3 linked regions of the Nothobranchius furzeri genome follow. The main gene of each other region encodes a partner of the protein of the gene in region 3 in a complex. Links are inferred from orthologs where the notes say so. Each region holds a gene or a part of one and is shown on either strand. Other genes may lie near its edges.

The links.
Region 1: the proteins of gdf5 (region 3) and rgmb are in contact, whole or in part, in a crystal structure (PDB 6Z3J), measured with the Homo sapiens proteins. The link is inferred for Nothobranchius furzeri from reciprocal best matches to the Homo sapiens genes GDF5 and RGMB. Residues at the interface, in NP_000548.2 of Homo sapiens: Leu396, Arg399, Phe435, Pro436, Leu437, Arg438, Ser439, Asn445, Val448, Ile449, Leu452, Ser455, Met456; in NP_001353437.1 of Homo sapiens: Gln57, Thr60, Phe63, Val64, Thr67, Ser68, Leu70, Asn71, Tyr88, Leu103, Val104, Ser107, Ala108, Leu110, Gly111, Ile112, Asp114, Leu115, Gln118.
Region 2: the proteins of gdf5 (region 3) and hjv are in contact, whole or in part, in a crystal structure (PDB 6Z3L), measured with the Homo sapiens proteins. The link is inferred for Nothobranchius furzeri from reciprocal best matches to the Homo sapiens genes GDF5 and HJV. Residues at the interface, in NP_000548.2 of Homo sapiens: Met412, Trp414, Trp417, Phe478, Asp480, Ser481, Lys488, Tyr490, Met493; in NP_001366281.1 of Homo sapiens: Arg95, Arg98, Gly99, Leu101, His104, Ser105, His108.

What each region holds. Positions count from the first base shown.
Region 1 is NC_091757.1:44,843,512-44,846,317, forward strand, and holds the end of rgmb (repulsive guidance molecule B), read right to left. Parts: intron 2,745-2,806; coding exon 1,968-2,744; 3' UTR 530-1,967; downstream 1-529. UniProt on the Homo sapiens protein: Member of the repulsive guidance molecule (RGM) family that contributes to the patterning of the developing nervous system. Acts as a bone morphogenetic protein (BMP) coreceptor that potentiates BMP signaling. Promotes neuronal adhesion.
Region 2 is NC_091745.1:60,112,960-60,117,372, forward strand, and holds the start of hjv (hemojuvelin), read left to right. Parts: upstream 1-1,467; 5' UTR 1,468-1,693; intron 1,694-4,413. UniProt on the Homo sapiens protein: Acts as a bone morphogenetic protein (BMP) coreceptor. Through enhancement of BMP signaling regulates hepcidin (HAMP) expression and regulates iron homeostasis.
Region 3 is NC_091743.1:78,134,682-78,139,016, forward strand, and holds the start of gdf5 (growth/differentiation factor 5), read right to left. Parts: upstream 2,922-4,335; 5' UTR 2,378-2,921; coding exon 1,750-2,377; intron 1-1,749. UniProt on the Homo sapiens protein: Growth factor involved in bone and cartilage formation. During cartilage development regulates differentiation of chondrogenic tissue through two pathways.

The sequences.
Region 1 (2,806 bases), on a different chromosome or scaffold from region 3:
AGTCGAGCTGAGAGGATTTCCACCCTACAAGATGTTCTCATCCTCATGAGTGCCTTCATAAAGATGGGTTGAATGTGGGTTTTCAGTACAGTTACATGAACTTGAAGATTTAGCTGTTAAAAATCCTCAGTGGCGCCTTTTTGAGTCTGTTCCCGGCCCAGGTGTCGCTGACTGTGGCAGTTGAAAACAGATTGTGTTTGTGAGGCCAAACCTGGTATCTGATCGAAGCCTAACCTCACACAGGTGTTTTAATGCTTCTATCTGTTGTGTGTGTGTGTGTGTGTGTGTGTGTGTGTGTGTGTGTGTGTGTGTGTGTGTGTGTGTGTGTGTGTGTGTGTGTGTGTGTCTTTAAACTTGTGTGTGGAAGTTCTGTTAGTACGAAATGATCCAGATCTTGTATTACAATAAAAAGAACTGAGAGATCTGGTCAATTTTACACCTTTTTTAAAAATCTTTTTGTTTGTTTTTGGCATTCTTGATTTGTCTATTATTTCATTACAAGTCTTAAATGTTAAAGTTAAGCATCATGAACCGTTTTGACTTTATTGTAATAAATAAAACACAAGCACACATTTTGTTTCCTTTTTGTTTGATTTTGAGCGCCTTTAGTAACACACCGACAAAGCAAGAGAGCACCACTAGGTGGCAGTACAATCACAGCTGACATTTCTTTTAAATAATTATCCAACAGCAAGAATATGGAGCTTAACTTCCTCTACGGGACACTACGTTTATAAATAAGTTAGTTATTTCAACACTGACCAGTCACTCTTCACCAAACTGACACTCACATGATGAAAAGAGATCACAATGTGAAAAACTTAAACTGATCTACATATGTTACATATTTATAGGGGTTGAATTTTCTACCAGGCATCAACGCTGCGCTTGCAAATTGTACAACAGCACAGTAAGGTGAAGTTTTCCCAGTCATCCGACATTTTTTTAAGAATTATTCCTGCATTGCTTTACATGCATCTTAATAAGAAACATCCGGAATAGGGAGAAAACAGATTACAAGTAGCTAATTTAAAACAAACAGGATACAGATGCTGGTTTGGTAGAGAGTTCCTGTACAGAGAAACATAAATGATCGGTCTTTGGCTCAAATTGTAACAGAAAAATACGGCGAGTACAAAACGTGATAGTGTAGTCACTTAAATTTGGCAAAACGATTGGAATACTTCTAATGTGACTCACGTAAAACGAAGCCACATTCTTCAGCTGCTTTCAAATAAAGAACCTGACAAGTCTAAACACTTTTACACACACACACACTTGAAACCATTTACTAACAAAGTACTGATGGCGTTTGCTGCAACGCCATAGCTAATACATTCAACAGAAAACCTCACATTGACTGAGTCCAGTCAGCTACTGGTAGAATGGTGCATTTAAACCAAAATGTCAGCTCCAACCATTCAAATGACTTTATCTTTAAGAAAAAGTGTGATGGAACAACGAGATACAGAGAAAATATGAACAGTTGTGAGTTTTGGTGGAGGACAGAAAGTGAAGAAGAAACACTGACTGGCATTGTGTGGAATAAAATGTTAAAATAAAGTGCTTTTGTTAAGAAAATCCTCTGTCTGAGGTACTTTTTTTTTTTAAAAATCACATCAAATGGCAAATCAAAAAACATCAACATCATTACAATGTGCACGGAAGAAATAAATGATCTATTTACAGTCGATTCATCCAAATAACAGCATTGGTTTTATTGTCGGCTGCATTTTCTGATTCTGGTTCTGACAGACAGTTTTCCTGTGCACACTGGGAGGGGGGCTCATCGCCTCTTTTAAACGACTTCCAGTTCCCAGTAAGTGTCCCGCCTGCTGCCTCCTCTCTGCATGAGAATGGCATCAGTATTCATTATCAGTGCTCAGCAAAAACAATCAAAAACAATGTCCTAAACTCTCTTCCTACTGCGCGCGCACACACACACACAAACATGGGCCTACATGCATTCAGGCACACATACTGGCTGACGCCACAACAGAGCTCAAAGCGCACAGCAGGAGCAGAGCGAAATGTTTGATAGACTGTGAATCAGAACGGAAGATGGATGTGGCAGAACCACGGGGGTAGATCCTCCACCGATCCTGGTGTGGATGGAGACTTTCCATGTCCTTCTGAGCGCTGTATGCAGCCACTGTGAAGTTAGCGTCCCCGGTGGTCAGGAGATCAAACACACAAGAGTGGAAATAAATGTCCAGCACCTCCAGCTGCTCTCTGCAACGCTCCTTCGCCCCTTCAACACCAAAAATCTGCGTGGCGCCATAGGGATGTGCTTGTGTCTGTGAGGAGAAACTGGGCTGACGCAACTGCTGTCGCTGTAGACCGAGTGCTGGAGGAGACAGCGGGAGGGGAAGATGTCCCGCCTGGTCGATGCGCTCGCTGCCGGGGCAGCCGTTCAGACACAGCTGAAGGTCCTGGGTGTCATCGTAGTCCTGAGCCAGCTCCTCAGGAATCCGCACCGCCAGCGTCAGGTAGCGTCCCAACTGGCGAACAATTATAGTTACGCCGATGTATCCAGCATGCAGCTCCACATGGCGCCCAGGACTGCGCTCAGAGATCCACAGAGCCCGGACCTTCCCAGCTGCACCATCTGCTCCAAGAGACTTGTGGATGGGGTCTCCACTGCTCACCGTCCCATCATCAAAGGCAGCAGGAAGGTTGTCTGTGACAGCCTGGTAGACCCTCTGATCTGTGCAGCCCTCATACGGCTTGAAGATGATGGTAATCTGCAAAAAGGAAGAAAAAAATTAGAACACTTGTTTTCTAAATATTTCATTGAAAATCTTGG
Region 2 (4,413 bases), on a different chromosome or scaffold from region 3:
TGGATGTGAAGGTCCTTGGCTGGTGTGGTCACATGTGGTCTGCAGTTGTGAGGCTGGTTGGATGTACTGCCAAATTCTCTGAAACTCCTTTGGAGACGGCTTATGGTAGAGAAATGAAATTTAATTTCACGGGCAACAGCTCTGGTAGACATTCCTGCAGTCAGTCTGTTGCACGCTCCCTCAATGGTTGCGACATCTGTGGTGTTGTGGTGTTTGATCAAACTGCACATTTGTGAGTGTCCTTTTATTGTGGGCAGTCTAAGGCACACCTGTACATTATTCATGCCGTCTAATCAGCCCTTTGATATGCCACACCTGGGAGGTGGGATGGATTGTCTTGGGCCCTGTCCACACGTAGCCGGGGATCTGCCAAAAGTAGATATTTTTCAACGTTTTGGCCTGTCATCCACACGAAAACGGAGTTTTCACACCCTCTGTGTGAACCAATGCAAAATCACCTTTGTTAGATGGTAAAAGTAAACCTCAGATCCTCCAGGTTCACCATAAAAATTGGTTATGTGATAATTAAAAACACCTGATTGGTGCAGGTGAGTGGGCAGGTCATCTCCAGTCAACAAGGATGGGTGATGTTATAAATATTAGTAATAAAGTTGTTAATAGTGTTACTAATGAAAACAACTATTAGACATTTCTATTACAAAAAAAATGGTAGACTGATCATGTAATTAAAATGTGTACAAAAACCATCTTAAAGAGATGTTTTTATCAGCTCAGAAGCAAATGGTCCATGGACCGGTACCGGTCCTCAGCCCACAGGATGGAGGACCCTGCTTTGGATGGAGAGGTTCTCCTTATTTGCTGTTTTCTCACTGATGAAAACAACTGAAAAGTATTTCTGATTTTAGCTTTGATCTTAAATCTGGATCCTGTTGGGTTTTAATTCTAAGTTTCATGTTTCAGTTTTACTCCATCAGTTAGAAACATGAAGCTCAGCTGATTCCTCCTCATTCAGCAGGCTGGAGGAGTGAGAACCGTCAGATTAATGAAACATGACCTGGAACCCAGAGACGGACAGAGTTCATCTTCCTGGAGGTCTGAAATAAAAATAAATGGAGAAGTGTGTGTGTGTGTGTGTGTGTGTGTGTGTGTGTGTGTGTGTGTGTGTGTGTGTGTGTGTGTGTGTGTGTGTGTGTGTGTGTGTGTGTGTGTGTGTGTGTGTGTGTCCGTGTGAGAGAGAGAGAGTGTGTGTGTGTGTGTGTGTGTGTGTGCGTGTGTGTGCATGTTAGTGTGTGTCCGTGAGAGAGAGAGAGAGAGAGAGAGAGACAGAGAGAGAGAGAGAGTGTGTGTGTGTGTGATTGTGTGTGTGTGTGTGTGTGTGATTGTGTGTGTGTGATTGTGTGTGTGTGTGTGTGTGTGTGTGTGTGTGTGTGTGTGTGTGTGTGTGTGTGTGTGTGTGTGTGTGTGTGTGTGTGTGTGTGTGTGTGTGTGTGTGTGAGTGAGTGAGGACAGTTGTCGTGCAGCAGGTGGTCGTTGGGGATTTATTTAGCAACGCTTGAAGCTCCCAGTCAGCTGTAAATGCAGCACGAAGCTCAGACCAGAACCAGGGTGGGACCTCTCAGGCCCTCTTAGTTCTGGACGGATCCGACCTTCACAATTTTAAAGTTATTTTCCTGCTGGTTTTCTTCCAGCGGCCGGAGCTCATGGATGGACTCTGATCCTGAACCAGCTGGAGGTGAGACACTAAAATAAACATGGAATGTTTACACATTAAAAACTTTAGTTTTACACACAAATCCAACATGAGAATTCACACACACAAGCATGCACACACGCACACACACAGTTCATTAACCCTAACCCTAACCAAAAACCAGTGTACCTACAAAAGTAAATCTGATTATTTCTCAACTAAAACACCAAAAAAAGCAACAGATGATTGTGGCCGTTTTACTTATTTTTGATTTTCAAAATCAGAATCAAAATATTCAAAATCAGTTAGATTTTAAATGTTTCTGTTGCCTTTTATTGACTAAAATTATTAAATATTTATATTTGTCACATTTAGCCGCAGAACATAAAATTTAATAAGAAACACATTTTAATTTGATGTGTAATAATTTTGTTGTCTTTCAGTCAAATTCTAGAAAATCTTCATTATAAATGTGATATTAATAGAGTCGCACTGAACTAAATGCTACAGACACCCAATGTTTTACAGTCTGTTGTTATTCATCATTAGTTACAGCTGAGGGTTTATTTGAGCCTGTAAGATATGTAATAATGGCTGAAAGTAGAATATTTCAGTATCTAAAATGTTTAATTTGAAGATCCATCCATCCATTTTCTTCCGCTTATCCGGAGTCGGGTCGTGGGAGCAGTAGCCTAAATCGAGAGGCCCAGACTTTCCTCTCCCCAGCCACTTGGGCCAGCTCTTCTGGGGAAATCCCAAGGCGTTCCCTGACCAGGTGAGAGACGTAGTCCCTCCAACGTGTCCTGGGTCTACCTTTAGGTCTCCTCCCAGTTGGACGTGCCCAGAAAACCTCAGGGAGGCATCCAGGAGGCGTCATAATCAGACGCCTGAGCCACCTCAACTGGCTCCTCTCAATGTGGAAGAGCAGTGGATCTACTCTGAGGGTAGGAAGCGTAGATCTACCGGTAAATCGAGAGGTTTGCCTTCTGGCTAAGCTCTCTTTTCACCACGACAGCCCGCCTATTGATCTTGCGCTCCATCTTTCCCTCACTCGTGAACAAGACACCAAGATACTTAAACAACTCCTCTTGGGGCAGGACTTCATTCCTGACCTGGAGAAGGCATTCAATCGTTTTCCTACTCAAGACTATGGTCTCGGATGTGGTGGAGCTGATTCTCATCCCAGCCTCTTCACACTTGGCTGTGAACTGCTCCAGTGAGAACACGTTCTGATGAAGCCAACAGGACCACATTCTCTGCAAAAAGTGTGCAAAACGGATCCCCTCACCACCTTGGCTGCACCTAGAAATCCTGTCCATAAAAGTTATGAACAGAATCAGTGACAAAAGGCAGCCTTGGTGGAGTCCAACTCTCACGGGAAACAAACTCGACTTACTGCCAGCAATACGGACCAAGCTCTGACACAGGTCCTACAGGGACCTAACAGCCCGGATCAGAGGACATGGTACCCCATACACCCGGAGTACCCCCCACAGGGCCCCCCGAGGGACGCGGTGGAACACCATCTCCAAATCCACAAAACACTTGTAGATTGTTGGGCAAACTCCCACGCACCCTCCAGGATCCCCCTAAGAGCATAGAGCTGGTCCAGTGTTCCACGGCCAGGACGAAAACCACATTGATCCTCCTGAATTTGAGGTACGACAGTCCGATGGACCCTTATTTCCAGAACCCTGAATAGACCTTACCAGGGAGGCTCAGGAGTGTGATCCCCCTGTAGTTGGAACACACCCTGCGATCCACCTTTTAAATAGATTTTGATTGAGAGGAAAAGAAAAAATAACATGAAGAACAGATCTGTAAAGCTCTGGTGAAAACAAACGCATTAGAGTATAAAGATTCCTTAAGCCTAAGATATAAATAACAGTCATTCCAGACGTGTGTATTTTTAAGTTGTGTGTGTGTGTGTGTGTGTGTGTGTGTGTGTGTGTGTGTGTGTGTGTGTGCGTGCATGCGTGCGTGTGTTAAATTTAGCCTTCACACACAGCCGTTCCAACATGTTAACCCTAAATGACTGAACTGATCAGATCTAAGATCAGCTCATTGCTGATTAAATCGTCTGATGTCTGGAGCAGAAACATCAGAAATGCCACCATTTTACTCCTGTCATGATTCATTTGTTAACATAATGATTTACTGACATCACAATGTCTGATACTTTTCCAGCAGCCCAACTTCCTGTAACCCTTTAACCCTGGAGCATCAGTATTAGTACATTCACCAGCAGCCTGCCATATCCCATACCAAAATGAATGAAAACACCTTAATTGATGGACAAAACCAAGACAGAAGGAAAGGTTTCTGGGTTAAAATTTAAAGAGAGCTCTTTGACAATCCAGGTTGGATCTAAAATCTGGTTTCCTGATGTTCTGTTTTCTCTCTTGATTGGATTAAATTTATTATTCCTAAATGTGGAAATCCTATTTTTATGAGCTGAAAAAATAAAAGTGCAGAAAAAAAACGAGTTTTAATCAATAAGATTTCATCCACACGCCTAAAACGAGACACAATGTTGAAACTCATCTGAAGTAAAACACTGAAACAAATCTTCATCTGATGAATCAAACGTTCAAAATCAAACAAACTTTTTTAATTTAATACAGTTAGTTTTGAATCTTTTTTCTGTTAGAAGTCTGAAGGTTGAACCAATCGTTGTGGGGAATCACTCTAAGCCCTGCCCCTCGCTGCTGATGTTTGTTCTACAGATAAAAAATCAAAACAGGCAAAAGTCCAACTGTGAA
Region 3 (4,335 bases):
TAAAAAGGTGACAGGTCTGCTGAGAGGGGTGCGTGGTCGACCTGTCATTGTGGCATCGGACTTTGGGGGGAGGGGTCGTTCGCAGCCGGGTAGGGCTGCCGGCGACGAAGATAGCTGAACAGGTGTTTAGTGTTCCAGCGCCAGGAGGGAAGGCTGGTCGCCTTCTTTAGACAGTTAGGGCTGGGCATAGGTGATGCCAAGGCCGCGCCGACATCTGCCGCTACGGACTCTGGCAGTGGACTTATGTTGTGGATTTACCCGCCGTCCTCGCAAGCTACACCCCGGGGCGTTGGACGGCGTTGGAAGCTCAGACCCCGGGGACGGGGGTCACACCATCCGTGACAGCTAAGTACCGCTGCTTACGTGACTCATGCTGGACAGTTGGTTTTACAAGAGAGGGCTTGGGCCATGGTGTTTTATCGTTGTGTTTTATTATTGGTTGTGCAATAAAGTGTGTCTTTTATAAGTCGTTGCCTACTGGTGGTGTGTTCAGGTTCTGACCGGAGGGCAAGATATTCTGCCCGTGCTGCCCACGGCTACTTTTATTACAATAGCATTGGTTTTGTCCTCATTTAGATGAAGGTAATTAGAGGAAAAACAGGTTTTAATTACAGAGGAACGATCCTGAACACAGACTGCAGGAGAGCTTGGGCTGACATAGTAGTAGTCAGTCATCTGCATACATGTGTAGCCTAGTGAACTAGCCCAGAACTAGTCTAGTGAACTAGACCAAACTTTGGTCTAGGAACGCTCCACTAGAACCTCTGCAGCCCCTAGCAGCATTCTGGCTGGCCAATCACAGCTCTCTAGAGGGGTTTCAAACTGATAGAGCGCTGTGATTGGTCCACAATGGTGGGCCGGTCACAGTGACCTATCTGCTTTGTGGACCAATCACGGACCTCTGTTTGTCTGGTGGGCGGGATGATGCAAGAGTGGAAAAAAATGGCGACCGCTCATTTTAAATGGGTTTTACATTAATTCTGGACTATTGGGACTTGGGCTTTATTGAACCAGGAGCAGATACACGTTTTTAAGTTGTTTATTTAGAAAAAGGATGTATTTTTACCTTCTACAACCTCGTTTATCGACATCCGTTGTGGTGAGTATGCCACGTTGTTCATTGTCCAGTAGCGTGCGGGAGATCGTTTGAAAGGCAACTGTAGAGCCCGAGAGCCATCGATGGAGTGTTGCCGGACTTAATAATATATTATTTAGTCGGGCTTGCCAGGCATTAAATGTGATAGTTTACTAAGTTTTTTTAGAATGATGCCTGGAGGAAGTATGTAGATCGAGAAAAGCTAAGGACCCAAAACTGAACCCTGGGGGACCCTAGAGGTCGAGAAGAACAGTTTTCAATGCAAACACTAAAATATCTTTTATTCCAGTATGAGCTAAACCAATCACAGGCCTTCCCTTCAGATCCTGTTCTTTCTCCTACTGATCCTAGATCTGTGGAGGTCTACAGAGCCCTCCTTCACCAAATCTTCACTCAGAACTAAATGGTTGGTTTTAAGTAAGGTTTGTGTGTGAGCAGCAGCAGTGATGTTTCCCTACAACTGAAACATGACCGACAGAACATTCTGCTGCTTCCAAACCATCTGATCCCAGAACTGGATCCAAATCCTAGGAAAGTTATTCAGTTTTTCATTTCTTTCTTTCTTTCTTTCTTTCTTTCTTTCTTTCTTTCTTTCTTTCTTTCTGTTCCTTTGAAAGCCTATAGTCTTCGTTATAGAGGACAGAGACAGTTACCTTGTCCCTTGTCCACAAAGCTGGTGATGGTGTTGGCCAGAGCCGCGCTGCTGTTCACGTCTCCGCTGCTCAGTGACCAGTACAGAGACAGCATGTAGTCGTGAGGGGTCACCACCGGCTGCCTGGCGCCTGGTTTCGGTGACTTGATGCTGACGCCCCGCTCCACAGCCGCGCTCTGTTTTTGCTCATACCCGCTGCGCGCAGCGGCGGCTGCTGCGCCCGCCCTGGAAGCGGCTTTCCCCGGTGAGCCACCTCCTCCAAACGTCTCAGTTCCTTTCCTGGCAGCATTTGCGTTAACAGCTGCGGGCGCGTGCGCTTCAACACGTGCCTTAGCGGCGGGACGCCAGGAGCACACAGCCTCTCTGCACGCGGATCTTTGCGCTCCGTCCTGCTGCGGCTGGTCCAGCCTCCCCGGTGCAGCGGAGATCCCCGCTGGTTTCTGACTGGCAAAATTCGTCTCACCTGTGGTCGGCAGCGCACTCACGCGCACACGAGGAGCTGGTTTCCAAGAGCCAGCGGTTCCTCCCGTTCGCTCCAAGGTGGTTCTGGTTCTGCTGAGCGAACCGCGGACGGGATGCAGGAAGACTATCGTCCAGCTGAGCAGAAGGGGAAGATTCTTCACTCTCATCCTAAATCTCTGCAGCCTTTTGGCACATCGTCTATAAATCTCTTCAGAACGATCTGACCCGCTGAGCCGACACCAGGAGCGCGGGAAGTTCAGTGACCTTTCTCATCCTCAGACCCGTGAGGTCCAAAATGCGCGTCTCGCTCCCAAACGCTAGAGAAACGGGGTCTGACTCTCACAGGGTTAAAAGAGTCATTTGGTCAGGGTCAGGTGTCAGAACCATACTGCTGATGGTGGACAGGTGAGACTCTGAGACCTGGACCCGTCTTCTGCTCTCCAGCGAACTGTTCTGCTTGGTACCATGTAACAACTTCTTTAAATCCCACTTCTTTTTTCCATGTGAGGAGAGTATGGCGTAATGCGGTTGCCTCCGTTTTTTCTCTTTCCCTCCAAAGCTTGAACTCTGTCCAGTGAAAATATTTCACTCACACACAACAACCCGCAGGTGCTCCAGAATCCTGCAGCAGACCTGAGCAGGAATTCCAGAGAGCGGCTTTAATTACGCCGTGATGTCATTCTGTCCCAACTCATTTAACAGTGATAATTCAGCCCACATCTTCCTCCCTCTTTTACACACACACACACACACACACACACACACACACACACACACACACACACACACACACACACACACACACACACACACAAATTATGATAAATGATAAATGACCCACTTTTGTATAGCGCCCGCCAGAGTAAGGACTCCAAAGCGCTTTACAGTGTATCATTCTTCCATTCACACACTGATGGTGATGAGCTACGATGTAGCCACAGCTGCTCTGGGGCACACTGACAGAGTTGAGGCTGCCGAGCACTGGTCCCTCCGACCACCGCCAGCAGGCAAGCTGGGTTAAGTGTCTTGCCCAAGGACACAACAGCAGAATTCTCTGTCCGGAGCCGGGATCGAACCTGCAACCTTCCGACTACTGGAAAACCCGCTCAACCTGTTGAGCTACTGCTGCCCCACACACACACACACACACACACACACACACACACACACACATCTGTGTGGCTCTGAAGAGCTGCAGCAGCTGGATGTTTCCTATTCTAAGGCCAGATGAAGGAGACTGAGGCTCCAGTTACTTTATAAAACACAATGAGATGAAGCCCTGAAGGTGAGTCCCAAGCTGGAGAACACGTAGACATCTGTTGAGGTTTGATCTGAAGACCCCAAAACTCAGATTAAAATTAGGACTAATCATTAGCTTGAGTGAAGCCTCTGATAATTCAGTAGAGAAAAGCAACCCTCACATCTGACCTCCTTCCTCAGATGATTATATGGAAAAAGATGCATTAAACCTTTCATAAAGTCATGAGTCTACAGATTAGAGAGAAGTTTAGATTCTTGTTTTTTAAATATTTTAACATGTCATGGCTGACCAAATGGGCTCCATTCATTCACCATTAGTCATGCTTAACTTTTGCTGCAGGTTTTGCACCAAAGAGCCAAAAGACTCTTTCCTGTTTCAAGTTGCTGTTGGTGCCAAACCCTCACTAAGTCACATCACAGGAAGGTAAAGTGGCAGGTTGATGAAACAAACCATGACTTTGACTCAGAAATGTTTTCATCTGCATGGAGTTCAGAGCGGAAATAAAACTCTGATGAGGTAGGATGAAGAAACAAAACAGGACTTCTTCTCCTGTTCCTTTAAGATGTTCTTCAGCTCTGATCCTGGGTCAGGAGTTCAGGACTTAAACCTCATCCAAGAACCTTAAACAGTAATCAGAACCATGAAAGTCAGGTGACCTATTTGGTCGTCACACACACACACACACACACACACACACACACACACACACACACACACACACACACACACACAGACACGCACGTGCACACACACACACACACACACACACACAGATGAGGAATGAATAATGACCATGTAGTATACTCTTACTGGCTCTTGAGTATCGGCTATGCCTGGAGACCCCGGGACGCATGCAGAGACCTG